3 linked regions of the Neurospora crassa OR74A genome follow. The protein of the gene in region 2 interacts with the protein of the main gene of each other region in a pairwise test. Links are inferred from orthologs where the notes say so. Each region holds a gene or a part of one and is shown on either strand. Other genes may lie near its edges. The genes, in order: NCU00018, NCU09813 and NCU06856.

Region 1 (10,767 bases), on a different chromosome or scaffold from region 2:
GCCGTTGACGTGAGGCATGACGAGGACACAATGGGGCAGTGAGCGGGAAACGGTGCCAGTTCCACACCCGGCGTTAGGGAGAGAGGCTCGATCCCTGAAGTCATTAATAATACAGAATCAGGGTGAATCTGCACCATTCGTTCGTTCGTCGCTTTTATCGGGTCTGATGCTTGTTGTTCACTTGTTGTTGAGGTTACATCTGCTTGTCACTCTCACAGCCCTGTTGAGGGGTTGACCATCAACCCATGAGATCAAAGCAAGGGTTGCTGACTGCCGGGGGCTCGGGCCAAATATGGGTGTTAAGCGCTTATGCTGCGATCTCTAACAACAGAGTTAGCACAAATGCTGTTTGTCTCTAGGCTTCACTAACACTCATCATTAACAGCTAAGCGCACCACACAAGAGCTGTCTCTATCTCTAGGGCTATGTGGGGAAACAGCAACTCACTCACCTCCCTCAACACAACTTGCCAGTGCCACTTTCAGTTTCTGAACGTGGACACCAGCGGTCTTCAGATCCAAGGAGATAACTGAAAGTAGGTTATTTCTATGTTTCGTTAGCAGGGTTTATAACACCGAAACATTAGCGAAGCAAGGTGGTTCTACCATCTTTAGCGTAAGAGTCATTCCTGTTTCCCGGTCCGCGCATCCACGATAGCATCTCTCCCATATTGGTACATCACACTATTGGTTGACCCCCCACCTCTTCCTTATTGAATCTGCGCATGATCTTTCGAAAGGTGAGATTCTTAGCTTTGTCACTATTCTCCCCATGCATTAACCACGTACACAGGCCATGAGTACCCTGTTGGCCCGGCCACATCAAGCGCCAGTCAACATCTACCAACCTTCAACACAAGCTGCCGTGAACGTTAAGTATCAAGCTACTAACGACTGTAAACAGAGCAAACAGGATGACAGTTCCATGCTCGCCTTGATAGATTTTACGGTTAACAGATCCTCGCAAACTGACGTGAGAGAAATTATACCACCAGGCATGACAGAGTTGTGATGACCCGGCTGTTATCCAATCTGTCTCTTGGATATTGGTCCAGTATCTGTCCCGCCCGACTTCCAGCACCGTCGTACTTCAAACTTGTCGACAGATGAGACCATGCAACCTTAATGCACGGTTCTGCTTAAACTACGCGGCAGGCTGCGTAACGCGCCCTTTGTCCAACGTGGTGCAGGCACTGGGTTATACGGCTTTCCATCTGATTGAAGTACGCTTATCATGGTTACATACGTGAGTCCCTTAGAAGCAAGCCGTCCCACTGGGCAGCACTACCACAACTCGCCTTCTTTCTCATAAGTTTTGCTTTGATTCTGCGTCTGAACCCGGCTGAGTGGTCACAGTGACGGCAGCAGTGTCACGTCAAAGCCCCCCTCCGGTGAATCGGCACTGTTAGCCACACCGCCCCTCCGTATTTCGTGTTCCGTCTTCCGAGCCACTCCGTCTACGAGTTCCATCCTCGTCCACCAGTGTCTTCATTGTCTCCGTTCAGCAACCGCAGCAGTTTAAGGTTCCTCTATATGGAACATGAAGTGAAGATATCTCTCAGTTTGGTCTAGAGACACCACATTGTCTAGTTACTGACAGTCTGACTCAAAGGCCATGCCATCAAGCACCATTTCCTACAAAGGTTGGATAACGCTGAATGATCTGGAAAACATTCTCGAAGATGAGACACAGGCGGCCATCTAATTCTCTAATTTTTCCTCGAAACATACAAGGCTTGCCTGGAAGCAAGATATCTGTCGAATTTCATCGCGAAAGAAATTGAACGACTCACTAGGCCCGAAACGGCCTCAGCTTTACGCATAATTCAAGTCCGATTTGGGGGCATAACTCTGTTTTGACGGTGGGTAGATGCCCCGTGAAGTGTTTTGAGGCTGAAAGCGATTGCCTTGTGCCAACACAACTCTCTCCCCCTCCTTTGACGGTCCATCATCGCTATGCGGGACGGCAGCTTCGAACCACTAGCAAGCTCCAGCAAAGCAAAATCAGATGGGAACAGCCTTCCTTTATGGCAACATGAATGTGAACTACACCCCCAATGACAACACAAAAACTACTCGTACAGTTACGTGCCGCGACCATCATTCCTCCCCAAGCTCTTCATTCTGAGCAGGTTCAGCCTTCACACGACATTCGTCTCGCCCTGCCCCACACCGCCAAACCTGGTCAGGAGCGATACTATTCTGCTGACGGAATGGCGGGCTCTTTGGCTGATTGGCAAAATTGATAGCGTAGCTTTGAATTTACTGTACATATAGTATGTTTTCGGCACCACGCGGGAGTAGAAAGACTGGTCCTGTCCCAGTCCCACTTGTGTTGAAGTGCGAGCACCTCGGACTTTTTTTCTTTCCACTCACCCACCGTGCAACCACTCACGTTTTCCCCATCTCTATACAACCCTTTCACCATTTCCCACAACCTGCTAGGCTCCTGAACACACATACGCGCGTCTGATATCCACAAAGGGAGCAAGATAATTTTAGTCCGACCAGAATAGACGCCATAGGGCTGCCGTTGCCGAACTGGGTGAACATCCTACATACTAAAAACGCCCACATACTACTTACTTGATGTCGTGATAGGGCAAAGTACATCAATACACCCACTCATTCTCACGAAAACGTGCTCTTTTGCATATACCTCTTGAATTTAAGCGCGCGTCTAGGGGAGAGATGATTTGGCAACGGGAGATGACGAGAAACTTTGAAGTGATGCCGGACGCGGTCCTTAAAGAAAGCTTCCATCTCTTCTCCCAAAGAAATTCAAGGTAGAATGAGACCACCAGCATTTGATACTTTCCATTTGAAAGCCAGTCTCGATGGCTCAAGGCAGCCAGGTGAAATCGGTAGTGTCCCTTTCTATTCCCTAACCCATTGAGAACATTAAGACGTCTACATAACAATCAGAGAAAGAGAGAGAGAGAGAGGCAGGACACTTGTGTGGCGTTAACTCAGCTGAATGTCTGACAACCTACCTAGAACTGTTCTTACTGACATGCACATGAAGAGCAGACCAAGGTCGTCTCTGGATATATTAGGCAGAGCATTTGGAGAAAACAGAGCCGTGTCACAGGCATGCGCTCATACATCATACGTACCATCCCTTTCCCCGTCTCCTGTACTTGAGTAAATCCAATCAACAAACATGTCAATCTTCAACAGCGAGCTCGAATTGGTGTCCATCACCACTTTACCACTACACCCTTTCATTCTACTCATACTATACCTTACCCTACCTCTACGGTGCCTAGCTTCTACTTCTACCCCTGGAGCAAGGCATAGCTTACATTACTAGCCCAAGTATAGTCACACGTGCGAACATTCGACGTCCATGCTGGCACGGAAGGCGTAATCCCATCTTGCCACTCGTACGATTCAGTCCTCGTCGCCCTAGTGTCTCATCCAAGCGAGCCAAATTGGCATCAGATCCCCATACGCCACAGACCGGACGTAGTTACATCCGATCAGTCAGTAGAAATCATTCAGCCCCTCTGCCTTTTTAAAACTGTGATATCAGACAAGAACGGCGCTCATGGGGCCATTGAAGTCCATCGAATGGCTACAAAACAGCAGCAGAGCAGGCAGCAGAATTTGACTTCATGTTTGCTAAAAGGCGAGAGAGGATTGGTACCTTACTTGGTTTCGAAGGGGCGGAGATAAGGGGATGGAAATTCAAATGTACCAGAACCTACTAATATTGAAATGTGATGTAGTGACGAGGTGAACGAGGCTCGAGGCAGGAGGGATGGGGCAAGGCGAGCCGATGTACAGAGCCAAGGTTCTGTAGATAATAGGAACGTCAAACGTTCGGTTGAGTCCACGCCTCTACTATCAGTGAACTCAACATGTTTGGCTGTTCGTCCTGGACGTGACACCGAGGGAATGGGCTTCACATACATATCCATCAACAAATCCAGAGCGCGTTGCGCTTCCTTACCTAACTTTGCAGTAGATACGTCTCTAAAGCCTTCGTTATTTAGCTAAAGTCAGTTGGTGTTGAATGTTGTCACGTCTTCCATATCGACGCTGCCTCGGTGATATTCTGAGCTCAAATCCGTTGACAGAGGGACACAAGGGTGATCTTGTCCTGAGTTTGACGAAGTCCTATCTTTAGCAAGAGTATTAGAACTCAATCAGGCTCCCGGGTACCTCGTGACTGGGGTGGGTAGGGGCAAGTTGGGTTGGAAGGCAGAGGGCCGGGTGTAGTTGACTGAATATAGGTAGTCCTCATGTCTAACGAGCTGTGCCCGGAAAACTGCCAAGCCTTGCTCACACTGACTCCACGAGAGTGAACGTCGTTGAAGTCGAGGCTGGTTTGATTGTTAGTCTGTTGCCTGAAAGGAAATGCCACACCCTCCGAGCTCCAGCCCCATTCTGGCTCAATGCGTGTTGTACAGTAGGTAGTAACGGTATATCGGATCCGGATCGTGGAGGCATTGGACTATGGGACCTTGAGGTCCCTTTGGACTCTGAATGGCCAGGTGGGCGGCGCGCCGCAGCGTCTTTGGGGTCACCATGTACAGCGGGGTAGCTAACACCCATGGTACTACACTACTGTAGTGTATGTATGTAGTACGTTACAAGGGTACCGAGCTCCCTGGCTTCTAGCCCCGCCTTCTTCCAGCCGGGCGCCGAGCAGTCCGGGGAGAGACTCCGGGACGTACTGGGTATCGGCGTGCCGGGGCGGAGCCGTATGGCCGGCGCGCGCCTCGTATAAGCACGGGCGGGGACGTGTCCTACAACCCCTGAGGACCCGGTTCTCGGTCGGGTCGAGGGTCGTCGTTTGCTCTTGTCACTCGCTTGCTCCACCCAAAGTGGCATGCGGGTTCCTGCGACGTCCGGACAAACGGACTCTCTCGAATCTCGATAAGACGACAGTTGCAGCCTGCCAACTTTCCGCGTGTTGTCCTGTTCCATTTCGTTTTCTGTGATACCTACCTAGCAGCATCGTTGGCCTGTGGCCTCTGTACAGGCCATCCGGTGGTGCATGCGACAACCACTGACCGCCTTGTTGTCCGTACTGCGGGGGAGGGGCAAATAGGAAATCCCAGGGCAGCATGTCTCGCTTCCTTGGAGAGACCTGACAGCCTGGCCATCTGGACATCGGTGCTCGAGCGGTGCTGCAGCATCCGAACCTCGATTCACTGTAAATCTCGAACTGAAGAAATGGAACGAACCCCAAGTCAAACAAGATGAAGCTTTGATCTGTCAGCAGCTTTGTAGAACGCATTCGAAGGTTCCGGCCGCACCGTTGCTTTACCAGGTGTGTCGGGCGACCTGAAGATCCTCGGAGCGATGGCAGAAGGCGTGCCTGGAGCCCGGAACAGCCAGGGCATGGAAGCAGACAGAGTGGCAGAATGGAAGTGTACCTATGGGCGAAAAGCACGGACCTTTGTCGCCCCAGAAAAGGCTCCGCTCATACTTCGTCATCCAAATGGTCGCCTGGCGGGGCGGTTTGTCAGTCAGTGACACTGACAGTTGAATCAGATGCCCGCTGTTGCTGTTGCCGCTCCCCAGCTGCTGGCCACCAGCTGCTTGCCCCTGGTTGGCTGGCCTTGGAGGGAGCAAGCGGTCGGTGCCACTCGCCGGCGCAGCGGTGCTTGCTTGCTTGCTTGCTTTGGCTCGAACCGTCCTTTCCATGCCTGGCCGTGACAACCTGAACGTAAACGAAACCAACTCCAACACCAAAACGCAAAGGCACTTCGTCCCTCCGACTGGTCCTTTTTTTTGTTTCCATCCCAACACCATTCACCTTCACCTCGCCGTCCAACCTCCAAAGAATCCCTTTATCAGCGGGTCTTGAGGCTACGAATTCTGGTTTCTTTTTCTCCAAAACCACTTCTTCCCGCTACATCCTCTCCGTGGATTAGCATCACCGTCCGCGATACCCAAATACCACATTTATTCTACTGATTCCAACACAAACGTCAAGATGGCTCCCGAACCTAATCCCGACCACGTCGAGCAGAAGAAGAAGGTCAACTTGATGTACGTGAAGCAGCGACGCTGATCGCGGGAGCTCTCGAAGCTGTCGCGCCCCCTCATCGCGAATGACGCCAAGCTGACTTGAAGCCAAACAGGGACGCTTCTGGTGCCGAGCACAAGGCCGTATGTTCAACCTCGCTTGCCCGCCAAAGACATCTCGAGAACCACTCGTGCTGACCGATGGAACAGGAAGATGATACCGCCACTGCTATTCTCAAGAAGAAGAAGAAGCCCAACCAGTTGATGTAGGTTGACGTTGAAGATGCGGGGCACTGCAACCTGAGCTAACACATATGCAGGGTTACTGACGCCGTCAACGATGATAACTCGATTATCGCCCTCTCCAACAACACCATGGAGCAGCTCCAGCTCTTCCGTGGTGATACCGTTCTCGTCCGCGGAAAGAAGAGAAAGGACACCGTCTTGATTGTTCTTGCCGATGACGATCTTGACGATGGCAGCGCACGCCTCAACCGTGTCGTTCGCCACAACCTCCGTGTCAAGCACGGCGACATCATCACCATTCACCCTTGTCCCGATATCAAATATGTTAGTCTATAACCCGGTCACCTAGTCATAGAATGGGCACCTTGCTGACACAGCATCTCCTTGTAGGCCAAGCGTATTGCCGTCCTCCCGATCGCCGATACCGTTGAGGGCATCACCGGATCTCTCTTCGACGTCTTCCTTGCTCCCTACTTCCGCGAGGCCTACCGCCCTGTCAGGCAAGGCGATCTCTTTATTGTCCGCGGTGGTATGAGGCAAGTCGAGTTCAAGGTCGTCGAGGTGGACCCACCAGAGTACGGTATTGTCGCTCAGGATACCGTCATCCACTGCGAGGGCGAGCCCATCCAGCGTGACGAGGAGGAGAACAACCTCAACGAGGTTGGTTACGATGATATTGGTGGTTGCCGTAAGCAGATGGCTCAGATCCGCGAAATGGTTGAGCTGCCCCTCAGGCATCCTCAGCTTTTCAAGTCCATTGGTATCAAGCCGCCCCGTGGTGTCCTGCTTTATGGCCCTCCTGGTACCGGTAAGACTTTGATGGCTCGCGCTGTTGCCAACGAGACTGGTGCCTTTTTCTTCTTGATCAACGGCCCCGAGATCATGTCCAAGATGGCCGGTGAATCCGAGTCGAATTTGCGCAAGGCTTTCGAGGAGGCTGAGAAGAACTCGCCCGCTATCATCTTCATTGATGAGATCGACTCGATCGCCCCCAAGCGTGAGAAGACCAACGGCGAGGTTGAGCGCCGCGTCGTCTCCCAGCTCCTTACTCTCATGGATGGTATGAAGGCCCGTTCCAACGTTGTTGTTATGGCTGCCACCAACCGTCCCAACTCGATCGATCCCGCTCTCCGTCGTTTCGGCCGTTTCGATCGCGAGGTCGATATCGGCATCCCCGACCCTACCGGTCGTCTTGAGATTCTCCAGATCCACACCAAGAACATGAAGCTTGCCGATGACGTCGATCTCGAGCAGATTGCTGCTGAGACCCACGGTTACGTTGGTTCTGATATTGCTGCCCTCTGCTCCGAGGCTGCCATGCAGCAGATTCGTGAGAAGATGGATCTCATCGATCTGGACGAAGACACTATCGACGCCGAGGTCCTTGACTCTCTTGGTGTTACCCAAGAGAACTTCCGCTTTGCTCTCGGTGTCTCCAACCCCTCGGCTCTTCGCGAGGTTGCCGTTGTCGAGGTTCCCAACGTCCGCTGGGAGGATATCGGTGGTCTCGAGACTGTCAAGCAGGAGCTCAGGGAGAGTGTCCAGTACCCCGTCGACCATCCCGAAAAGTTCCTCAAGTTTGGCCTTTCGCCATCTCGCGGTGTTCTTTTCTACGGTCCTCCTGGTACCGGTAAGACAATGTTGGCCAAGGCTGTTGCCAACGAGTGCGCAGCCAACTTCATTTCCGTCAAGGGTCCCGAACTGCTTTCCATGTGGTTCGGTGAGTCTGAGAGCAACATCCGTGATATCTTCGACAAGGCTCGCGCTGCTGCTCCTTGCGTCGTCTTCCTCGACGAGTTGGATTCTATCGCCAAGGCCCGTGGTGGCTCTGTTGGTGATGCTGGTGGCGCTTCTGACCGTGTTGTTAACCAGCTTCTTACCGGTAAGTTGATTCTTCCTTGGTTTGTGCCATTCTGCTGTGCATACTAACCTGAGCTATAGAAATGGACGGCATGACCTCCAAGAAGAATGTTTTCGTTATTGGTGCTACCAACCGTCCCGAGCAGCTCGACCCAGCGCTCTGCCGTCCCGGCCGTCTCGACTCCCTCATCTACGTTCCCCTTCCTGATGAGGCGGGTCGTCTCGGTATTCTCAAGGCTCAGCTCCGCAAGACCCCTGTCGCTGCCGATGTTGACCTGAACTACATCGCTTCCAAGACCCACGGCTTCTCTGGTGCCGATCTTGGCTTCATCACCCAGCGTGCTGTCAAGATCGCCATCAAGGAGTCTATCACCGCCGATATTCAGCGCACTAAGGAGCGCGAGGCCGCTGGCGAGGATGTCGAGATGGAGGATGAGGTTGAGGACCCCGTTCCTGAGCTCACCAAGCGCCACTTCGAGGAGGCCATGTCGATGGCTCGTCGCTCCGTCAGTGACGTCGAAATCCGTCGCTATGAGGCTTTCTCCCAGCAGATGAAGAACGCCGGCCCGGGTGCCTTCTTCAAATTCCCTGAGGGTGGTGTTGAGAGCAGCGGCAACGGCGGTGCTGGTAACTCGTTTGGTGATGCTGGCAACGATGATGATCTTTACAACTAGATGGGGGAGGGATTCAAGACTCACAGTATTAGAGCAGTCTTCCGCTAGCCTTGGGGCTCTACATGTATGTTAATATGCGCTCAAAGGATAGGAGTTGACGAGGTATTCCTTCAAAGTTGATTGACAATGTCTTTGCATAGTCTCTTTTGTTTGGCCCATCCAGGGTCGATTCAGAGCAATTGGGCACAAACGATGTGACTTATAAGATTCCACATAACAGCGGTACCCTCAGCGATTGTTTGGCATTCGGATTTGGTGACTGAGAGAAAATCATGCAGGCCATGACTTATGTTTTCGTCAACCTCGCTGGCTTTGTGTTTGACTTGGTTCCACCATGCAACTGCCTCCAAATTCGGTTATGAAGATAGGAACAGTGACCCTAAACTGATGTCAACGTGCGGCTCGTTTTTTACTCCCTTCTCAGGTTGCACCAAGTTTCTCAAATTCATTCTCAACCGTCTTCCCAAGCCTACTTGTCATGTCTACAAAATCGACGGCTGACTAGTGGGCGAGCCACTTGTAGTGATCAGTGCTGGAGTTGTATCCCACATTGTGAAAGGTACATGTGCAGTTTTCTCCCGACCCGCGATGCTCGACGAGGGAGAATCTACTTTTGGCAACAGCAAGGCCGGGCAGTCTTCCTTCCATAATTGATGGTAGATAATGTCGACTATTGAGCATGTACGTTGCCTGTGATCTATCCATTAATCTCTTCCGCCGTAGTTGCATCTGGCCGACGGACTGATGAAGAGGAGGCGTAAGGCTGAACATAACAAGCCCAACCAGATGGAGCATGAGAAATTGAAGCATTACCCCAAAAAGTGAAGGAGCAAGGAAGGAACAAGTCTTCCAGAGTCGGAAGGAGTGGTATCAAAAGCAGGATCGTCCCTTCTGCGGATAGTGAGCCCTTCGAAACTGCCAGGAGACTGACTACCAATGTGCCTCATCCAAGATACTTCGGGTCTAAGGACTGACGGAAAACTCTACTGAACCCCGTCCGCATTTCCTAATGCAGGTCTGGCAGAACTGAATAGGCTGAGGGATGAGAGGGCGCGGGACACTCGAACCGCCAGTGGAAGGATGATTTGTGCAGTTGAGTTTTGGGTTTGCATATAGAGCCGTTTAGGCGCGGCATCGACGGCAGGGAAAAAATGATAAAAAAAAAAAAAAAAAAAAAAAAAGAGAAAGCCGTTGACCTTTTTCGAGAAGGGTGGCTCAAAGTCTCGGCCAACGTTAGACGGGAGGTGTTGCATACCCTTTGGTGGCAGATGTGCATGTTGATGGATTAGGGAAGGAGCGAACGGATGGGAAGTTGTACCCGGGATATATTCAGTCACCAAAAATACTAGTATAAATGATTAAGAAATTCCACACGATTTAGTAGGTACACTGCAGCCAGAAGGGGCCGGGAAGAAACTGCCGGGTTTTTTTTTTATTTTTTTTTTTTTTTTTTTTTTTTTTTTTTTTACAACCTGTTGAGAATATTGCCACTGTCAACAATAACTTCAAGCAAAAACAACAACACACATGTTATTATTGTGGTCGACAGACATTAAAAGACCCCAAAGAGAAAGAGAGCTATAGTCGAGAAAATTTCGAATTTACTACGCCCTACAAACGATTTTCTCAATCCTCATCATCAAGTCCGGGTGCCTTACCCTCTCAAACAGCACTGTACTCCAAACTCAAAAGTGCCTGAGGCCGGGGCCGATCCTTGAGAACTCAAACATGAAAACGAAGCATACCTAGGTACCCACAATGTCAACCTGGCAATGTACTTCTCAGTGAGACTGTCTTTTTTTTCTTTTTTTTTTTTCCCAATATGCTGGTTGGACCTTCTCCCGTTTCGTCAGGGACGGCATTCATTCGTTTGCTCAAGGCAAATCTGAAGCCGCGGAGCGTATAAATGTGTACTTGACATCTACGACTATGTAGTGAAGACTTTTCGTTGTGGGACGGTTGAGACACATACAAGGTGTTCGTTCCGAAGAATTCAAGAGTAGTCG
Region 2 (9,816 bases):
TGGGTCTTCACATGAATGAAAAACCAGTCGTTACTTAACAAGTGAAGTTTTGCGATCTTCCCGCAAACGTACGCAAATTAGGTATCCCGTAAACCTGTGAAATCGTGAAGCTGTGCGTGAAGGCGGAATGCCAAGTCCTTCTGACATTTCAGCTCATTGGAAGCTACGGATTCACACGAGATTCACGCCGCGCCCAAGCACACTCACTTTTCTCGAGGTACCTCTTTGGGCACGGCCCCGGGGTATTGTAGCGGGGTACGTACTGCATACAGCATGAGCACTGTACGTGCCAGCCTCAGCTCTTGAAGGGTACACAATACAGTAGTAATATTACCTCCATGGAGGCGGCCAGAAACCACGCCAGCGTCGGTGTCGAGCGTGCAGTGTTAGTTAGCCCGGTGCTCGAGCTTGGAGCCTCAAATGTCCTTCGCTCCCAACCGGGCAACAGCTGAAATAGAGGCAGGCACTTTCCATGTATCCAGCTACGCGGTCCGGGCCCGTCGCTAGGGAGTGCCCCCTTCGTCTTTCCATCTTGTTTTGACGATCAAGCCATCCTGGATATCCAATTGCACGGCAGCGAATCGCTTGGAACGGATACCGTTTAACTGTGACCAACTCCGTCAGCTCCTTACCTGTACACTACCTATTCACGGTCGTCCACCTCCTACACTAGATGTCTGGACACATCACATTAGATTGACCTAGATTATTTCTTTTGTTGTTCTTATTTCCAGCATCGCCCAGGCAGTCAATTCTTTGGGTGTCTCCTTCGTTGTCAACATCGTCTCGTCACGAAACAGGCTTGAGGTCTACGAATCGAAAAGTCATTGTTCCCTTCCTTGCCTTCCACTTGTTTCTTTGCATTGAGACGGGGCTGGGACGAGGTGGGTAGGCACAATCAACGAGAGACAACAACAACACCAACAACTACAAACAGGAACAACAACAACAACTACTACTACTACTACTACTACAAACAGGAACAGCATCATACATCACAACAGACACAGCAGGCGTCGTCTTTGATAACCGTGATTTCGGTACTTCTACATACAACCTATAAGCAGCAGAGACCAATTCCGCCTACTGTGTAGAGTCCTTGACTCCTTTTTAACCGACTTGTCCGGCGCTCCACCTTCCCAGCCAGGGACTTCCCAAGGCTCACTCCGCTTCTGACAGCCGTCGACCACCAACCCTTTCCTTCACCGTCTCTATTTCTCCACTCTTAACCATCATTGACGATCAACATCCCGCCATTCCAATAAATAAGAAGAGATAGGGCTGCAAAACACCTTCGTGAAGGGGGTCACCTCTCGCCCGCCATGTTTGCCCGGAGTAACTCGAGCGAGCGTGCTTCGCCCAAAAAGGCCACTCCGCCGTCGCCTTCTTATATGAGCAGCGAGCAATTTGGTACGCCGTTCTTCCCGACTATCTCCTAGGTGCTAGGTGGGGGTGTGGACGTGTTTGATGGCCTGTCTCGCACTAACACAAACACCATCCAGCCGCATATCTTAAAGATCTACGCGCCAGTCGACTTAACAGGCCTGGTGGTGCACGTCCACTGCCCGCTTCGAAACGCGATACTTCTTGTACTACTGCTGCCAGTCCCTCGCCTAGCAGCCGGTCATCTTTCACACAAGCCCCTCGCCTCTCCGAGACCGCCTCCTCTCCCATCCAAAATGGCACTTCAGAAGCGAACAATGCATCCAGCCCAACCGAGCTGTCCCCTGGCCGCAGCTCCGTGACCGCCAGCGTTGGCTCCAAGTACTCAAACGTGACCCGAGGTAGAGATTACTACCCAGACCGTCCAGCCCGGCTCTTGAAGCCATCAGAGGTGGTACCTTCTGCTACCTATATCGAACGCGGTCAGAGATGGATGGAAAAGGAGGAGGCTGTTTCTTTGCGCAAGGCTATGGAGGAGATGGATCTAAAGGGACACAGCAAGAACGCCAGTGGTGGCCCGCTGATTAGGCCGGATGTCGGCCCCGGCTCTGGGAACGATGAGGCTCCGGAGCAAACCGAGGAGGAAAGGCGTCTCTACGAAGCCGCGCTGGCCGAGGCAGCTGAGTTAGTATGGCAACACGAAAACCCCGGGAAAGAGAGACCGCCCGAGCCAGGCACCCCATATCGGTATAAGCCTCACTTGCGCAAAGACAGCTACGCCCATGCCCGCACAGCCAGCGTCAAATACGGCAGCGATGTGGCCCCCACTGGTCTAGCCAGAGATACTAGCACGTACTCAATGTCGGGAAGTTCGACGGATGGCGAAGAAGGACAAGGGTCAAGTCGAAGCCCAGTATCGCCAGCTTCAGCTCGCCCGCTGTCTTTCAGGCTGCCGGAGACACCTAGGGCGAGCCATGAGCGTGTGCGAGATGGCTCCCCAGAATCGGGTAACTCCAAGTCGTACAGCACCTTACCAGGTAGTAGCGGTTACCTACGGAGTGGTTCGAAGAAGGACATATTTGGTGAGCCCCAGAAGCCGTTCCCAGGTGACAAGATTTCGGAGGAATCAGAAGCGCGGTCATCTTCTTCTAGCCTGGATAACTTTGCACAAATCAGAACTCCTGAGCAACTGGGAGCGAAACCCAAGAACCCCCTGAATCGCGTACAGTTTGCCCCTGAAACGTCCCCGGCAGCGGATGGCGTTGCCTCGTCCCCTCCCAAAGACGGATCTAGGTACGAAAAGTATGAGATTCACCGTAATCCTGTCACCCAATCCCGCAACCCTCAGTACACCACCAACGTACGCCCCGCTTTGCCTTGGGAAAGAAAGAAACCGGTGCAGGAAGAGGTTCCTCGAAAGCACGGCATGGAAATCCGCAGCGATGAGATACGGCAAGCCACAAGCATGAAGCTGAAAGACCGCAGCGTCAAGCTACCTACGCCGTCTGCCGTCAGTGACAATCCCGGTCGACCCATCGTAAGCTTTGACAGACAATGGAAAGCTCCTGATGAGGCTGCTGATGACACGCCAGAAGGACCGTCGAGATTCGGCAAGAGTGACGACCGCTCGACGCCGCTCGTCCCTGGACGTTTCCGCAGCCAGCAGTCGCAGCAACCCCAAGAAGAGCCGCGGCAATCGCAACACCACCAACAACAACAGCAGCAGCGAGCACTCCCACAGCAACCCCAGCGACCACGACAGCAGCCGGGCTCGACGCCGAACGTCCCTGTTATCCCTGTTTCGAATGGTTTTTCAACCCCACCGTCGTCTTCGTCGCCAACAAGACGCCCACTCCCAGTCCCAACCCCACCCAGTGTTCAAATAAATGCACCGCCGCCTTCATCTTCTATCCCCTCAATATCTGTTCCCTCCATCGCTGTCTCGGAGTCAGCTTCATCATCACGATCTAACATCCCTCAGATTGTCCTCCCAGGCGGATCTCACGATGATGGACCTAGCATTCCAGTAATCGTGACGCCAGACGATAAATCCAGCACCTCCAATAGCAGCAGCTCCCGACGCCCGCTCCCCACCCCGGGAGCCGTAGGTCGACATATGCCAGCTCGGCCACGCAGCCACTGGTCACCGGCGCCCAAACCAGCAGGCAGCCGCGCCACGGCTCGCTGCCACGAGTGCGGCGACTTCATTGAAGGCCGCTTCGTCTCACTGGCCGGGATGACGGAGCGCTTCCATCCGCAGTGCTTCACATGCTACTCATGCGGCACGTCGCTCGAGGCGCTCGAGATATCTCCAGAACCGGATGAGCACCGGGCGGCGCGGCTCGAGCGCATCGCCCGGCGGACCGCAGGCGAACATCTCCCCGAAACGCCGGGCCAGACCATGGCCGAGGACGGTGATGCGCGTCTCCGGTTCTACTGCCACTTGGACTGGCACGAACTGTTCGCGCCGCGGTGCAAGCACTGCACGACGCCCATTATGGGCGAGCACGTGGTGGCGCTGGGCCACCACTGGCACTTTGGCCACTTCTTCTGCGCCGAGTGCGGGGACCCATTTGAGCGCGGCATGACGCATATCGAAAAGGACGGTTATGCGTGGTGCGTGTCGTGCCAGACAAAGCGCACCGAGCGCAGGGCGCCCAAATGTCGCAAGTGCCGGAAGGCCGTCATCGGGCAGTACATTCGGGCGCTTGGCGGCGAGTGGCACGATGAGTGTTTCCGCTGTGCCGACTGCGGCGGCGGGTTCGATGATGGACAGATATTCCCTAGGGAAGGGAGGGCCGGCACGGTGCCGGGTGAGATGGTTGTTCTTTGTACTGGATGCATGGAGAGGGAGTTAAAAGCATAGGCATACGGAAGTGGATGGGTTCTTCCACTTTTCCCAATGACGGACACAAAGAAGAGTCCAGGACAGAGTATAGGGATATAGGGGCAAAGGTCAAAGCATTGTAAGGGTGTTTTTTTTTTTCTTCCTTTTTTTTTTCTTCTGCATAGCATTGGAATCAGGATGTTCAAGTTGCTCTACATTTTCTTTTACTCAATAGTGTTTAGGGGTTCATATGTACGAGTATCGAGATACAAACAATATTATAATAATAACACATCAACACACGAAACTAGGATGTCATGGTGTGGTTATTCGGGGTTGCCTTGGACTTGTCAGCGTAGCCTACCTGATAGGCATTATGGACGTCATGGTTAAATCAGCCTTGGAAGATAAGCAAGGAGTTGACGATATCCCACAGCGCTCGGGAACGACGATCGAAGCTGGGCAAATTGGAGATGATGGTAGAGGAGAGTAAAGGCTCTGTCTACGAATATGTCACTGCAACGGGTTCACTGGCTGAGCGGGGACAGATACAACAATGTGAGTCCTTGAATTCCTAGGATAATAAACACTCGACAGCGCTCGAGAATGTGCATGGCATCATAAACGAGCACTCGCAGTATTGTTACAACATCTGGGACTGGAAAAAAGGGGGGAAGAAAGGGGGCAGAAGGCCATTTGGAAAGATGCCGTGTTTACGCTTCAAACAGAAGATAAGATGCCGGCAAAGCCAGTTGGCGTCCCGTCAAAGTATGGTATAAATAGAATCAAATCAATGTTCCTCGATACCCCTCCGCCCTATGACCCCAATGATAGCACCCTCCGAACTCCGGTTCTCCTAGGCATCACCTATGCGGCGAATAGGAACAAAAGTAGAAAAAGTGCGTGCGTCCAGTGACAATGGCAAAAGCTGTGATGTTCTCCGTAACCCCGTGTCCAATCCTGCTGTCACATTCCGAAACTCCCACCCAGTCCCTGTCCTGTTATAGAATCGGATACCACTCGCGAGCTATCTTCTGGTGATCAAGTCGCCGGTTGTCGTTCCGCTTGCTACTATGCATATGGCCGGTTGTAATTTTGTCTTTTTTGTATTTTTTTTTGTTGCCTTTTTCTTTCTCCCATCTCCTTGTAGTTGTAGTATAGGATCGCCTTTTATCTACCAGCCGCCGACCTGCTCTTGGTGAACTTCCAGGCAATCACCGTCCTGCATCTCGAGCTATATTATGGTAGCAATGGACCTGGTTAGCAAACATATTTCTGGCGTGCTCGGGTGCTTCGTCTACCATGGTGTTCCCGGGCTAGCAGCAACATCAACACAGATGTTAGGTGCATGCCAGACTTCACTTACAGTGTCCGGGGTGTCCGTGGGCTGTACGCGCTGACCCTCGAAGAGGAACCTAACCGAAGCCAGCGTCTTGCCCTGACGCTCGCAGAACGCCGTCATGAGCTTCTCGAGCTTGGTGCTGCGCTTGATCTTGAAAAAGACCTCGTTGTTGTTATCCGTCACCTTGATATTAAGGTGCTCGACGGCGGGGGCGGCGGCATCGGAGCCAGCGTTTCCACTTCCGTTCTCAGCGTTGTCCGCCATGTTGATGACTTGGGAGTTGGAGATGCTAGGCAGAAGTCTAGTCGCAAAGAAATTTCGTCAATGAAAACTGGAAGGGCCGAGTTTGAAGTGTCGATGTTCGGAAATGCTAGAGTTCCAGGCTGCGATGGAAGTCAGAAATTGCGCGCGTGTCAACGCGCCGGAGAGTCTCGTCCTGCCTGTGTTGTCGCACAACGAGATGGAGCAGAAATTGGTGGAGGAACAGCAAAATTCGAGAGGAGAAGCGGATTGTCTTACTGCAGTAGATAGGCGTATTGAAAGACGCTGTGGCAGACTTCTGGTCTTGGGAAGCGTCGAGTCAAGTAGGTCCGTGAGAATTTAGAGAAGTGGAAGGCGAGGTGCACCGGGTCAAGTCGTGCTTTTGAGGTGGAAGCGTGGTTGCGGCGAATGCAGTAAACGACGGCTGGAGGGCGGTTTGTAAGACTGCAGCAGACGCAAAGTTCAGGTGGGGCCAGCCTTGAAACACCAATATTTGTACGAAACCTTGATGCCTCCTCTCAACCTGGCCAACTTTTGTGGTAAGTTGCGCTCCTTAAGGCTCTACTGAAATGCGACACATGCGTATAATACCCGTACCTGGTCCAAAAGGTGAACATGAGACGAAAGGGCCGAGGAAGGCCAATTCGTGAAGGTGTTCATACACCGAATTGCAAGCCCACAGAACTAGGTGCCCAAGTATTTCACTGTCCGCCACTTGGCACTACTTCTAGGTCAACCATTCGAATACCAATCTTTCGCTCATCTTTGCAGACCACCCGACCTTGCGTCGCACAAGCCCTATAGTAATGAACAGTTCCTTGTAGTCCTAGTCCGCGGTTAACTGCCTGTTCCAGCGTTAGGTTGTAGTGAGGCTGGTAGAAGAATGGTACAGATAGGTTGACGCAGTGGTGGTCACCGATAAGTGTTTTCGATCCGGAGAGTTCCTGACATCATCCACCCGTTTTCCTTTACTGATAGGCGCGGCAACTGGACTGGAGAATGGGGTACCGAAGCACCGGGATTGTTTAGGTTGTGGGGATTCCAAACTTGCAGGAGGGAGATCCTCGAGCGTAGAGTCCCACTCGAAGCTCTGGCTTTTACCTTCCATTTAATGAACACCTGAGCAAAGGGTACGTCTAACTGCCAGTTCTTGACTTCTTCGCGATCCAGCTTCCAACCAGACGGAGTTCTCGACCGTTCAAATTTCGATACCATGGTGGGTTTAGGCGCAGTACCAGCTTCAGGTCTCCCCTTACAGAATGTCTCGGCTCTCCCCTGAGGCACTGCTGACCGTTCATGTTGCTTTGTTAGACATTGCAAGACGACCTCGCAGCCAGTCCGCCATGCCATCCACGCGCGGTTTGTTCCATGTTTCCCTTGTTCTTTTGTTACGGCTTGCACGCGTGGTGTGCTGACATGCGGTTCTTTCGTGCCTGCAGTGCGCGATACAAAGTGAGGATGACCAGCTTGACTCCTGTGTCGTTCAGAACTCGCAGTTTGCTGACCTCACTTCACGCCGCAGATTGCCTGACCAGAAACGGATTTGATGAGAGCAAATGCCAGAAACAGATAGACGCACTCTACGAGTGTTGCAACGCGTTTTACGAAAAGAACAGCGAAAGCGCGTCAACAGTTAGCTGCCCCAAAGCGAGCCTGCTACGGCTCAAGATGGAACAGAGAAAGAAGGCTACATGAAGGAAAACAAGAGGAGTCGAAATGTATCACTTGTCCAGATATGTCCACCTAAACGCCCGTGAAGGTGTTAGGTAACTTAAACGGAAAGTGCGGTATTCCTCTGGGCGATCCTTGAGCACGCGAGAGACCTCATGGGCCTGAACAAGAAATGATGGTCTTGTTCCGAGACTCTAATAGGAATGCCGTGGACATTGTAAGGAAAAAAAAAAGAAGAAGAAGAAAATACCAAAGAAGTTTTTGGGGTCCGTCGCTTTTTGTATCAATTTCTCACACAGGTGGAGGGGCTTGAAATTCGGGTGGGGTTCATAGGTCTTCGCCCAGGGACCCATATTCTGCCGGCCGCAGATCCCAGTCCGGCTTTTTGAGCCGCATGGAACGCGTCGTGCGGACGGCAAGCGAGTTGCTAGCGGCAGCTGGAGCTTCGACGTGTGATTGGAAATTCGTCAATGTGAATTATTACAACATGGATTACCTTTCCATACTTGGGCGTGTGTAGAACTACACTTGGACCTTTTCGCTACACAACACGAAAGCTACCTTGTGCTCCCACTACGCCTTGTAGACACAACTCCAACATTGATCTCGATCTCAGTCCCCGAGAGTGGGACGTCATCTTGCCCAGCAACCGGTCTGTCTTTCTGGAAGGAGCTTTCAACGAACAAGTGGACAAAGCACAGCATGGAATGCGATTGAAAGACAGAAGCGTCTGCCGTGCCCTACCAAGAACCCGCGACGCGCCTACCAAACAGTCATCACAACATCACGCCAATCGATCTACCCCCATTTGAACCTCGCGTATACGGTAACGACCAAGGGCGAACATGGCACCCACAGTTGTGAGCAACATCAATCCTCCGATACGCCGACGCCGCACGGCAGTGTTCATTTCTTCTAATACGCAGTTGCGGCAGGACCCTTCTGTTACCTCAGACGCGAGCTTTTCATTTGCCTCGAAAAGCGAAAGCCCAGATCTAGGTTCGATTATCGTGGAGCTTCGAATGCCCTAACAACAGCTAGCTGCTAACACTACATGCGCATCCAGGACTTATACCTCCCCCCATGGCCCAACAGCCGTCATCATACCGGCAAACCGTCATCCGAGCCGGCGATGAAGTCGAGTTTTTTTCGGGAGAGCTAGACCGCCACCTCACCGACCTCAATGGAACCACAGAAGAGAAGCGCGCCCAGGTCTTCCAGCTTATCGACTCTTACCATGCATACTCGAGGAAAAGGGCGGATCGACTCCGCGAGCGTCAGCCACGCAAACTCACCCTTCGCGAAAATGAGATGGACATCGACGATAATGAAATTGATGACCTCGCCGTAAACTTTGACGAAGAATATCGGAAGGCAGAAGAGGAGGCGCAAACTTGGGATCTTCTTCGGCGCATGCTGCCCCTGGAATATGGCCAGGACGAAACATCTCAGTTGAAACAACACACAAAACCATCCTTACAGTCACGCAACCAATGGTGGAACGATTTCATGCTGTCTGACTCTTTGGCAAGGGAACAAAAGGTCGTGCTAGAGTGGCTTCAGAGCAGTGCAAGCCAGGGACCGCCAGTAGACGACGTTGTGAGCCACCTTCAGGAAAGCGCAGAGAGGGGTGACATTCTTGCCCATGGCTGGCTTCATACTCGCACCAAGATCAAGCTGCAGAAGAGCGTGAACGGGTACCAAGGATCCCTTGACCCAAGGGCATCTGGCTTTGCCGAATCACATCTCAGCTCCAACACGCTTGTCACCCAGCTCGATCCCGATGCTATCACACGGCAGGCTCGTAAATTGGAAACCCAGGACGACTTTTTCGAGCGCGCCATTTGGTTGGGCTGCTTTGAGATGCTACGTCGTGGCTTTTCAATGGCTGAGATTCGAGATTGGTGCTCCATGAGGACGGAGCTATGGAGAGCTGCGTCTCTTACGCCCCTACCGCTTGCGAACCCAGAAGATGAGGACCAGCCGGACTTTGACCCGCGTTCGCTCGTTCTATGGAGGCGGATGTGCTTCTCTACCGCTCGGGATGGCGGAACCAGTGACTACGACCGGGCGGTCTATGGCCTGCTGGCCGGTGATATCGCGAGTGTAGAGAAGGTGTGCGAGACGTGGGATGACCTGCTATTTGCTCACTACAACGCTCTACTTCGAACACGGTTCGACTCGTATCTGGTCAAGCACGGTGGAGATGAGGCCGCTAGGATCGCCCAACAGTTCCCTGCTTTCAACGCTGTTTTGCATCACGGGGATCCGCATTCAGTCGGCAAGAGGCTCGTCACCTTACTCGAGACAGATTTGAGGACGAGCAACGAAG
Region 3 (10,322 bases), on a different chromosome or scaffold from region 2:
GTAGAGGTAGTAATCTTTGTCACTACCGTCTGCTGCCATCATATCGTGGTTTGGTGGGATTTGTTAACAGACTGAGTGAGACCATGCGATCATGTCCTGCAAGCAAGCGCCTTTGACTTGTCCCTTTGTCTTTCTTTGTATGTGGACCATACCGACACGTCAAGTGAACCCCATGCAAGAAATGCAATAAATGCAATAAATGTAATAAATGTAATAATGGAAAGCAAATAAGAGGAAAGAGATAGGAGGGCGAAAGTGGAAAGCAAAAACACAAAGGCAAGGAAGTAAGATGTGTAGAGCAAAAGGTCAAGAAAGTAGAGGGGTAAGGAACGTATGGTTGAAGGTCTAATCAAGACCGGGCAGCTGCTGAGATTCAAGAGAGCCGGCCAGAGCCAAGGTTGGCATTTTGTCTGTTACCAGATCACCACTGCCATGTATGTATGGTGTGTGCACGGCAATTACCATGTTGTAGTAGAGGTACTTTGCAATCGGCTGCCATAATGTAGGCTATGCTAGTCCGCCCTTGAAAGCTTAAAAAAAAAAAAAAAAAAAAAAAAAAAAAAAAAAAAAAAAAAAAAAAAATGTAAATTGACACGGCAGTACATAGATGCCTGACAAAACAAAACAAAAACAAGGAACGGGCTGTCCCTTGCGAGTAAAATGTAATTGAAAAGGGCCTTGTCGAAAAGGCGTACAAGATTAAATTAAACAAACAAGACAGCAAGCGCCATTGTATGCCCCAGTGAAAGCTGTATCAACCGTTCTGCGGGAGATATAAAAAAAAGCAAATTAATAATCCCTCCAGCAAGCACCGAGCGCCAGAGGATATGATATGGAAAGCAAATAAGCAAGGTACCCAACCCCCCCAAATCGTGAATCCCGTGTGTGTGCGTGTGTGTGTGTGTGTGTGTGTGTGTGTGTGTGTGTGTGTAAGAGGCCCAGTTCCGGGTAACTTCATGTACCAAACCAACCAACCAACCAACCAAACCAACAAAGCAGTCAGTTGCGAAAAATCAATATGTATCACCAAGCATACCCCCCACCACCATAATCGTCATCCCTGTCCATCCCATCCCACTCGGAATCCTCCTCATCATCATCGCCGCTGCCATCCACAAAGTCCTCCATGGTCAACGTCTGCTCCGTCAACTTCTGGTTGTCCAACTGCAGCTCCACCTTCTCGCACCAGCCATGTCTGTAGAGAATCTCGCCCGCTACGTTGGCTTCTCTAGGCGAAAGAGATAATTCCTCTGCTGATAATGATAGCGAGGAAGCCACGGATACTTCGCGTTCGCCGCGTTGGGCGCTGTGGCCGCGTGAAGGCGAGGGTGTGCCGCCGTTGGATGATGATGAGGAGGAGCCAGAGGATAAAGCTGCGATGCGGGCGCTTCGGCGGGTAGAGAGAGAGGACGACGAAGGCCCTTGTTGGGCTTCGATGGATTGGGCTACCCAGTTATCGGTGCGGGACCGTTTGGTAGCAGAAGGGGGTAGTTTGCTCGTTGAGAAGGTGGGTATTATCTGCTTGTGCTTGTTGGGGGTGGGTGTTGGTACGGGGCGTAGTGTGAAGGGTGGCTTGGGATCTTCCCATTTGCGGAGAAAGACACCCTTGAGACGGGCTTCCCATCTATCGCGCATTTCGGAACGCTGGCGGATGGGAATGTTGAGTTTGGCGTTGATATCGATGATGCGTAAGTCGGGAAGATCGGGAGCGGCTTTGATCAGGGACTGGAAGAGGTTCTCGGCTGCGTCGGCGGACCACTTGCGCATGTTCTGAAGCTCGAGGGTGCGCAGACTCACTGGCCACTCGGGGACTTCTTGGACGCTGAGGACCTCGTCATAGCTGGGGTCTGAGTCGTTGTAGAATTCATGGTGGTTGTATGTTTTCAGATCTACGCTCAGCGTTTGCAAGTGTGGACAGGCAGTGCCCAGGACAGTGAGGAAACTCAAGCTGAGGGACTGGTTATGCTTTAGATAGAGATGTTCAAGATGGTAGGCACGGGTCAGAAGGTATTCCGAAAAATCATCGGCAGTGATTTCCCAGCAGTTGACGAGCTCCAGCGTCTTCAAGGTTTTGGGAAGAAGACGGAGCAAGTAGTCGTTTGCAATAGTGGAGGATTCGATAGACAGATACTCCAGTTGGGGAAGAACGTTAATGGCATGGGCAAACTCGCTGATCAAGAAGTTTTCGAACCCTTCATCTTCTTGGACAACGGCTGGCCAGTTATGCAGGGGCATCGAAGGAACCTGGAAGTTCTGAAGGCAAAGTTTCTTGAGCTTTGAAAAAGCCGGAGTTTGGTGAATGATGGCAGGACTTTGCAAAGTCATGTCGGGGGTCATCAACCTTCCGTTCCATCTCCAGGCCTCGAGTTCGAGCGGCTTGTGCTTGGTTCCCGGAGGGTCGCCGCCGTTGAGGAAGTTCCACAATGCAGTTGGATATTTCCATCTGAGGCTCGCTTCAAGAGATCGGAATGGGGCATCGTCCTTTGCATGGAAGAAGTCGATAGACATGAGCTGTGGGACATTGGTGAAAAGGGCTTCCCAGTCGAGATGTTGCCCTTTATAAGTCTTGGAAGCAATCTCCTCAACATCGATGCGCAACTTTTTTACTTTCCACCTGTAGCGATACTTCATCTTTGAGGGATCCGAGGACAAGAGCGCCACGAGTCCATGTGCCATTTTCCGCGTGAGCAAGGGGGGAGAGTAATACAAGGCCGTCAGGGCTGGTTCCGCAAGTTCCCTGCACAGACGGCTCGCAGATAAGAGAAGGTTGACAGCATCTCGATCACGCTCAGCGGATGCAAACTTGAAAATCAAGAGCCAGAGCTCATAGGGAAGATGTTGCCATGGAGGGATGACTTTGGGTTCCTTTTCGGCAGTGTCTTTTTCGGCACCGCCAGAGTGGACAAGGTCCAATTTAGATTTCCTGAACGAAGCGGGCGTGCGTCTCTTAGTGGCAGTCGCCGGCGTGTCTCTTCTTCTCTTTCGCTCTGGGGTACGTGGAACTGACGATTTCCTGGCTCTGGCTACGGATGTGGCCGTTGCTCTGCCCCTGCGAGGAGTGGGGGGACTTTCCTGGTCGGTGTTGACAATGTCGTCATCTTCTCCGTCGGTGTCTTCATGGAAGAAGCCGGACCGGGGACGGCGCCGTTTTCCTAGCGCCTGGCGACCGGAGGAGGCAACTGCTCGTGACTTATTGTTGAGCTCGGTCCGAGATGGACGCCCCCGTCTTGATATGGCGGACCTGCGTGCGGGTTGCCGTGCATCTTGTTCTCCGTCATCATCATCTTCTTCTTCTTCTTCGCTGTCGCTTTCATCAGACGTAGTAGAGGCACTGTCGCTATCGTCGGAAGAGTCTTCACGATAGTTGATGGACGACTTACGCGGGCGAATATTGTGATTTGTAGTGCTGGTGTTGTTGTCATCACCTCTACGGCCGTTGATCGAACGACGTGGACCACCACCACCACTGTTCCGGGCTGCCCCTGCTGCTGAATCCCCGCTGCGAGCGCTTCGTCTTAGTGGGCTCGCTGGGCCCAGATTTGATGTCGCACCGCGGCCGATTGCAACACCAACAGCGGCTCCCACAGCACCACCCCCCTGACTCCCGGCTCGGCGTGGCCGCAGACTACGGCCACCACCCACTGCCGCCGCTACTTCTAACGCCTCCGTCGCCGATAATGCAGATGATCTAGTACGGCTTCGCGCCGAAGCCCGCCGGGCCTCCACCTTGGACATGGCTACTAGCTGTGCTGTTCAGCAAGCGGCATCGAGTGGTGCGAAAGGGTTTGTTTGCAATTGATTGTTTGTTTGTGGATATGTACGAGTAGCAAAGAAAGAATATGGCAAGGTGCATCCAGCAAGGTTGCAGTCAGTTTGTTTTGTTGCCTTGGTGTTGTTTAAAGAAGACGGATGGTTGCGAGTCGGAAGATGGCTTCGGTTTGCGACTGATGATGAATGGTCCGGTCGCAGTGAGCACAGAACCAGTCCGGAACAGGAAGTGGTCAACCCTGTCAGTCAATCAATAAATGCCCTGGAAGTGGGAGGCGCTTTGGGTTTGCTTGCTCACTGTGCGGAAGTGCTAAACCGACAATGCCGTTCGATTTCGTCCCTTTTCAACCAATCACGGGACCCAGCCAGCCTGCTGCACGACCCACATTAGCTAATCAAGGACTTATCTCAAATGATGCGACCGACCGAGTTCTTGGAAGTGCAACTGGGAAAAGCCAAAAAACCGCTGGTACTAAACTAACATCAGAACTCAATGTCATGCTGTTGATGTTGTCGACTATATTCGTTCCAAGCATCGTTGACATATGACTAATCTTTAAGGATGCAAAATTCTGGAAGGAGAGACCTCGAAGTGGATGCAGGCAGAACTCCGGACCTTCCTGGCATGACACTGACAAAGCGACTGCTCAAGATAAAGACAAGACGGACCAAGCCGCTCTCGATGCACCGTCCACAATGAGGAAAAAAAAGAAAAAAAACCAGGGACTCTTTGTATCATGTCCATCTTGCACCAAAGTCAAATTCCGGCATTTCAAGGGATCAAAAAGAGAACAAAAAGAAAAAAAAAATTTAAAATTTTTTTTTTTTTTTTTAAATAAATTGGTGACGCCGCAGCATACTATGCTGGCAAAAGAAAAGATAACTCGATCCACCCAGGGGTCGAACCTGGAACCTCCTGATTCGTAGTCAGACGCTCTGCCATTGAGCCAGCGGACCTTGTTGAACATCACCTTGGCATGTTCCAGCTATAGGAGGACATCGAGGTATCATTTCCTTTTTCACTAATTCTAGTCAGCTGCATGGGCCTATGTAAACATCGTGCGGTTCAGCACTCAACATCCCATATACAGCCCTTTTCTATCTTGAAACGCATCGTGGCCTGTCCATGTGTATTCGTAATGACGCTACAAACGTTCCGTGATCCCTTGACTGTGAACCTCCCTTTCCCATGACCCTGTTTCCCATTAACGCCCGACAATGCATCAAACCATCTAGTAACAAGCTTGTTGAACGAAAGTTTGTCCCTAGACATTCCTGCCGTCAAGTCGCCTTCCCTTGCTCTCTGTCGGCTTCTTCTCGCCTTGCGCCGCCTTGTCGTCACCATCGCTGCTCTTCTTCTTCGGGACTCCTCCCCGGAGCGTCTGTCCCTGGCCCGCAAAGTGCGGCTGCTTCGCCGCCGCCGCCTCCCTCTCCTTATCTGCGGCAGTTTTGACAGGCTTGATCTCGTAGCCCAAGAAGAGCTTGTTGGGCGGCAGACGCAACGGCAACGGGCCGTTGTTGTTTTTCCTCCTGGGCAGCACCACGTCCTTAACGTTGGTCGACGTACCCGCCACCGGCGTCGCCGGCTTCGGTGTTCCCGTCTTGCTACCCTTCTTCGCCGCCAACCGCAGACCCTCACCTTGAAAGTTGCCCACCGACGTGGTGGTGGCTCCTGGTGCGATGGCATCGTAGTTGATAGCCTGCGCCATGGTTCCCTGGTTGTGCAAAAGACCACCCGCCGGAAGTCCTCCGCCAACAGCCCTTCCGTTGCGTGGTGTGCTGGTACCACTGCCTTGTGTCTGTCGCGAAGGCTCGACGTAGCCAACTGGCGGCGCAAAATCGACGCTGACGTCTGTCTCGATCATGCAGACACCCATCTTGGCCGTCTCCGGCTTGACGTCCAGTACCGCCATTTCGTAGATCTCATCGTTGTACTCAAAGTTGAAAACGTCGCCCTTGGTCAGCGCCGCAAAGTTCCGGAAGGCCTTTTCGAGGACGGCACGAGGGTCGCTGATGTCGAGGAAGTTGACCGATTGCGGTTGGAGCTTGACAAGCCTGGCAAGCTCGAGAGATGTCGTCTTGATCTGAATCATGTCGCCCACGTCGAGCTTGAGGGTCTGCATCATCCACTGCGGGATGTAGGCCCTGCCCTCCTCAGCCACGAACTCCAGAACACCGGCGTGTGTGTGGGTGCCCTGCGAGCCGTTGATAAGCTCTAGCATGATGGGCCATTGGACGTGTAGTCGCGAAACCTTGTCGAGAGCGGAGGGCGGGAGCAGAATCTTGGAGCCGTAGTTGAGTTCAGGTCGTTCGGCACCGGGCGCCATGACAAGGGGGTAGCAGCGGTAGTACTCATCGAAGCGTTGCGCGCCCCGAGAGCGACCAGTGGCGCGACTGTAGATGTCTCCATACTGTCATGGGCACATGTTAGAATGTTTCAAGAGATAGAGGGGTCGAAAAGCTGTCTTGATAATCGAGCGTGAGGACAAGGATAGCTTACCATGATCGCGAGGGAGCTGCTAGAGATGGAGTAAAGTATTTTGCAGAAAGGGAAACGACAGGGAATTTGTATTAAGAGGGGAGATCTCGAGGTAAGCTTCGCAGAATAGGTAGTGGGATCCGGAACAGCAGAGCGTGACAAGCGATAGTGAAAGGGAGGTTGCGACGATGTTGAAATAACCTGACCGCGTGGAAGGTTCCAAAGGCAACAACGCAGATGACATAACTGGGCCCGAAAGTTACAGGCACGTTAGGTAATAATTGGAGCCCTGGCATGGGTACCGTACAGTACCTACCTCTATGTATCTGCCGCCTCGGCGGCCCGGATTGGCGGGGTGAGAAGGTGCCGCCGTGGCGTCAGATCTGTGAAACCGTGCTGCCGTGGCGCGAGCTCCCCCCCTTCTTAAACGCTTAGGTCAAAGGTACCTTGAGCGCTGCCTGTCCACTGCAGAACGCTCTGGACCTTGATGGCAGTGGAGAGCTCCATGTTATCCGTTGGGGCTGACAACGGGTAAGGTACCTCTAGTGATGTTCTTCCTTGATATTCCCAATTCGCCATCTAGATCCTCTCTTAAACACCATCCTCTACTTGTAGAGTTGTCATTCGCCGTCGACCCAGGCAAAACAGTCATCATTTCAGGCCATATCTACACAAAGTCTGCGATACAGGGGCAGAATAGGCCATTCTATCAAGACGACATAACCTTTACACGCTGACGTCAACGCCTACACACCAACACACGAGATTGAAGACAACAGCCACCACCATGTCCTCCCGCTTCTCCGCCGCGCGCCCCAAACGCGCCAGCGAAGCTTACGCCCGCGCCCACCACGGCGAATCGCGCTCCAACGACGACGACGACACCTCCAGCGGGCCGTCCCACAAAAAAGTCAAGTTCGACGTGCGCAACCCCTCCGCGCTCGCGCCCTCAGCGCACGATGACGACCTCGACGAAGCTGACGAGGAGGTTCTTGCCGCCGACGTGATCGGTGGGCTTTCCCGAGCCACCAAGCGCGGCGCGGTCAACATCGATGGGTACGATTCCGATTCCGACAATGACAACCTGGAAGACCGCGCGGAAGCCCGAGGGAAGAGCCGCAAGAAGGGCAAAGACGCCGAGGACGTGGATCTGGCCGAGATGATGGATAATTACAACAAGCCTTCCAACGGGGCAGGGAAAGATGCCGATGAAGATGACGAGGTAGACATGTTTGGCGATTTGGAAGACGACGACGGTGCTCAACCAACGACAGCCGGTGGTGGCTCTGCGAAGGACAAAAAATCCGTCCACTTCCTCGCCGACTCGGAAATCGAAGGGCAAGACCTCTCTTCCAAAGCTGGCGGAACCATCAACATCAACCCCGCCGCCTCAGCCGAATCGGACGACGAAGACGAAGACGACGACGACGAAGAAGCCATAGCAGCCGCCATCGCCGAAGAGGGAGTAGACGAAGAGGTCGGCCTAGGCGGACTGAAGAAACATGCGCCCAAGATTGACGCCTTCAACATGCAAGCCGAGAATGAAGAGGGTGCCTTTGACGAGGCGGGCAACTACATCCGCAAAGCGGCCGACCAAAATGCCGTGCACGATAAGTGGCTGGAAGGCTTGTCCAAAAAGGAAATCAAAAAAGCGGCGTTGGCGCACGAGAAGCGCGAGGCGGAAAGGCGCGCGCAGGAGAGGGAAGATGACAAGATCGCCACTGGGGACTTGCTTAGAAACTTGATCCTGACGCTCGAAAAAGGGGAGACGGCGCTGGAGGCGCTGGCAAGACTTGGAAAAGATCAAACCAAGGGGCCCAAGAAGGTGCCCAAGTGGAAGCAAAAGAGGCAGGAAAGGAAACAGGGCATCGATTCGATGGACGTGGATGACAAGAAGGAGGAAGTGGAGGATCCGAAGCAGAAAAAGATCAGGGAGGCGATTGATGCCATTACTGAGGCGGCGGATAAGTTGTTGGGAAGGGATTATCCGGATATTTACGATAAGGAGAGGGAGTGGTTGGTGAGAGAGTATAGAGCAGAGACGGGCGAGACCTGGGTGGAGCCTACTGTTCCTGAAAAGGAGGAAGAGCAGCCATCGTCACTAAACGGACAACCCAAAATGTGGGAGTTTAGGTGGACAGATGGGAGAGACGGAGGAGGAAGCCAAGGGCCGTATGACGGGCCCACCATGAAGGCATGGCAGGATGCGGGATACTTCAAGGAGGCGGTTGAGTTCAGGCCGGTGGGCGGAGGGGAGGGGGAGTGGTCTAGGGTTGCAGCCTTCGTATGATCATCATGGTTAGGTTTTGTACGATTGTGTGTGATAGTATACCCCCGGTTCCAAGCGACGAGAGAATCAAAAGCCTTATCACCATGCTGGGAACTCCTCAGCAGCTGGTCGTCATTCGTCCCTACTATGCCCTTTCCTGCTACCCCACGCTTCGACTTTGATTCGATTCGTTGTATGATACAAACGGATATTTGCAGACTCCATGCCATCACCATAATCAGTAACATGACAAAAAACCACGACTAGGCACACATAAAGCTTAAGAAAACAGTGTTATCATAACAAAGACGCCTTTTTGATGAGCCATCCCAATTAAACGCCTAGACGAAACAAAATCATAACCCCAAGATTATTCATTAATCCTTGTAGCGCATTGTCCCATGACTGTTTAGCTGCTGGTATCCATGCTATCACCACCAGCCGCAGTAGCCGCTGGCTCTCCCGTAGCACCGCCATTGACACGGAAATCGACCACGCCATCACTGCCGATGAGCCTCTTCTCCGATTCCTGCACGAACTTGACGCTCCTGGCAGGATCGTAGAACAGCTTGAAGCTGCGCTGGACGTCCTCAACGCCGACCTGCTTGGCCTTCCTCTTGGCGCAGATTAGCTGCGACGTCGTGATGAGGTTGCTCGCATACCGGAGGCCGGCCTCGGCGCCGATCTTGGTGAGCAGGGCGAGCGCGTCGGGGGTAAGGTCGACTTCCTCCTCCTGAGCGCGAATCGTGAGAATCTGTCTGAGCTCGTCGGGCGTGTACGAGTGCGTGTTGATGATGGAAATGCGGTCGAGGAAGTCGAGCGGCAGGCCGTGGGGGCTCTTGTAGTCGGTGCCGCGGATCTTGGAGTGGCCCCGGTTGCTGGCCATGATGACGATGGGGGCCAGGTCGGACTCGAGTGCGCGGTTGATGTACGAGAAGCACTCGATGTCGAGCATGTGCACCTCGTCGATGAACAGAACACCGGGCACAATCTCGGCCTTGCCTTCTTCCTTCCACTCGGCCACCTTGGTGTTGATCTGGTCGCGGATCTCGCTGCGGATCTCGCCCGTGTCGCCCGAGAAGAGGGCGAGGAAGCCTTGGGTCCTCGAGTTGATGACGTCGATCTCGTGCAGCGTTACTGTGTGGACGACCTCCTTGCGCTTCTGTAGCTCGCCATCGGGGCATTGCAGGAACTTGGTGTCGACGCCCATGGCATCGTAGTCGCGCGACCTTGCGTACGATCGGCCCAGCTTGGTAATCTTTCCAGATGACTTGTCTATCGAGATAATGTCGCCGGCCATGACGCGCTCCTTGGTCATAGCATCGATCATCTTGCTGCCCATGTCGTAAATAGCTTCCATGTCGGTCGTCTTGATCGTAAGCTTGCCCTGCTTGGCGTGGCCGGTAACGCTCCGGTCGATCTGAATCTCCACCACCTCACCCTCCATGATCTCACTCTCTTCCTTGATCCTGACACCAATCGACTTGCGGAATGCTTGGGTGAGGGCCTCGGTCTTGGACATCTCTAGAGAGTAGATTTCGGAAGCGGCAAGGGTGGTGAAAGGGACGTCGGTGCCGAGGGACTGGGCCATACCCATGGCCAGAGCAGTCTTTCCCGTACTGTTGTTTTTCCATAGCTAGGTCAGTACACGAAACGGTATGCGCATGAGGACTGGCACAGCAAGACGAGCTAACCTGGGCGGACCGGCGATCAGCACAGCACGGCCGGCAATTTTCCCTTGCTTAATCATCTCAAGAACGACAGCAGCCGCCTTACGCGCCTTCTCCTGGCCGACAAGGCCTTGGG

What was found.
Region 1: the proteins of NCU09813 (region 2) and NCU00018 interact in binary tests that used the Saccharomyces cerevisiae proteins (3 or more experiments, as listed by UniProt). The link is inferred for Neurospora crassa OR74A from reciprocal best matches to the Saccharomyces cerevisiae genes SMT3 and CDC48.
Region 3: the proteins of NCU09813 (region 2) and NCU06856 interact in binary tests that used the Saccharomyces cerevisiae proteins (3 or more experiments, as listed by UniProt). The link is inferred for Neurospora crassa OR74A from reciprocal best matches to the Saccharomyces cerevisiae genes SMT3 and UFD1.

Annotation. Positions count from the first base shown.
Region 1 is NC_026503.1:2,300,586-2,311,352, forward strand, and holds NCU00018 (cell division control protein Cdc48), read left to right. Parts: upstream 1-5,519; 5' UTR 5,520-5,949; coding exon 5,950-6,005; intron 6,006-6,097; coding exon 6,098-6,125; intron 6,126-6,191; coding exon 6,192-6,247; intron 6,248-6,301; coding exon 6,302-6,551; intron 6,552-6,617; coding exon 6,618-8,109; intron 8,110-8,168; coding exon 8,169-8,761; 3' UTR 8,762-9,241; downstream 9,242-10,767. UniProt on the Saccharomyces cerevisiae protein: ATP-dependent chaperone which probably uses the energy provided by ATP hydrolysis to generate mechanical force to unfold substrate proteins, disassemble protein complexes, and disaggregate protein aggregates.
Region 2 is NC_026501.1:4,130,178-4,139,993, forward strand, and holds NCU09813 (SMT3, variant 2), read right to left. Parts: upstream 6,259-9,816; 5' UTR 6,072-6,258; exon of another isoform or gene 5,854-6,071; 5' UTR 5,817-5,853; coding exon 5,577-5,816; intron 5,445-5,576; coding exon 5,385-5,444; 3' UTR 4,842-5,384; downstream 1-4,841. Other genes in the region: NCU09812 (LIM domain-containing protein), read left to right, coding at 1,323-1,410, 1,503-4,249; NCU16378 (DUF1903 domain-containing protein), read left to right, coding at 7,027-7,029, 7,125-7,172, 7,253-7,265, 7,336-7,508; NCU09814 (hypothetical protein), read left to right, coding at 8,330-8,344, 8,420-8,483, 8,551-9,816. UniProt on the Saccharomyces cerevisiae protein: Not known; suppressor of MIF2 mutations.
Region 3 is NC_026502.1:1,738,064-1,748,385, forward strand, and holds NCU06856 (ubiquitin fusion degradation protein), read right to left. Parts: upstream 6,490-10,322; 5' UTR 6,272-6,489; coding exon 6,269-6,271; intron 6,180-6,268; coding exon 5,034-6,179; 3' UTR 4,751-5,033; downstream 1-4,750. Other genes in the region: NCU06857 (hypothetical protein), read right to left, coding at 1,024-3,735; NCU06855 (hypothetical protein), read left to right, coding at 7,035-8,537; NCU06854 (RuvB-like helicase 2), read right to left, coding at 8,926-10,135, 10,211-10,322. UniProt on the Saccharomyces cerevisiae protein: Functions at a post-ubiquitation step in the ubiquitin fusion degradation (UFD) pathway. Has a role in the endoplasmic reticulum-associated degradation (ERAD) pathway.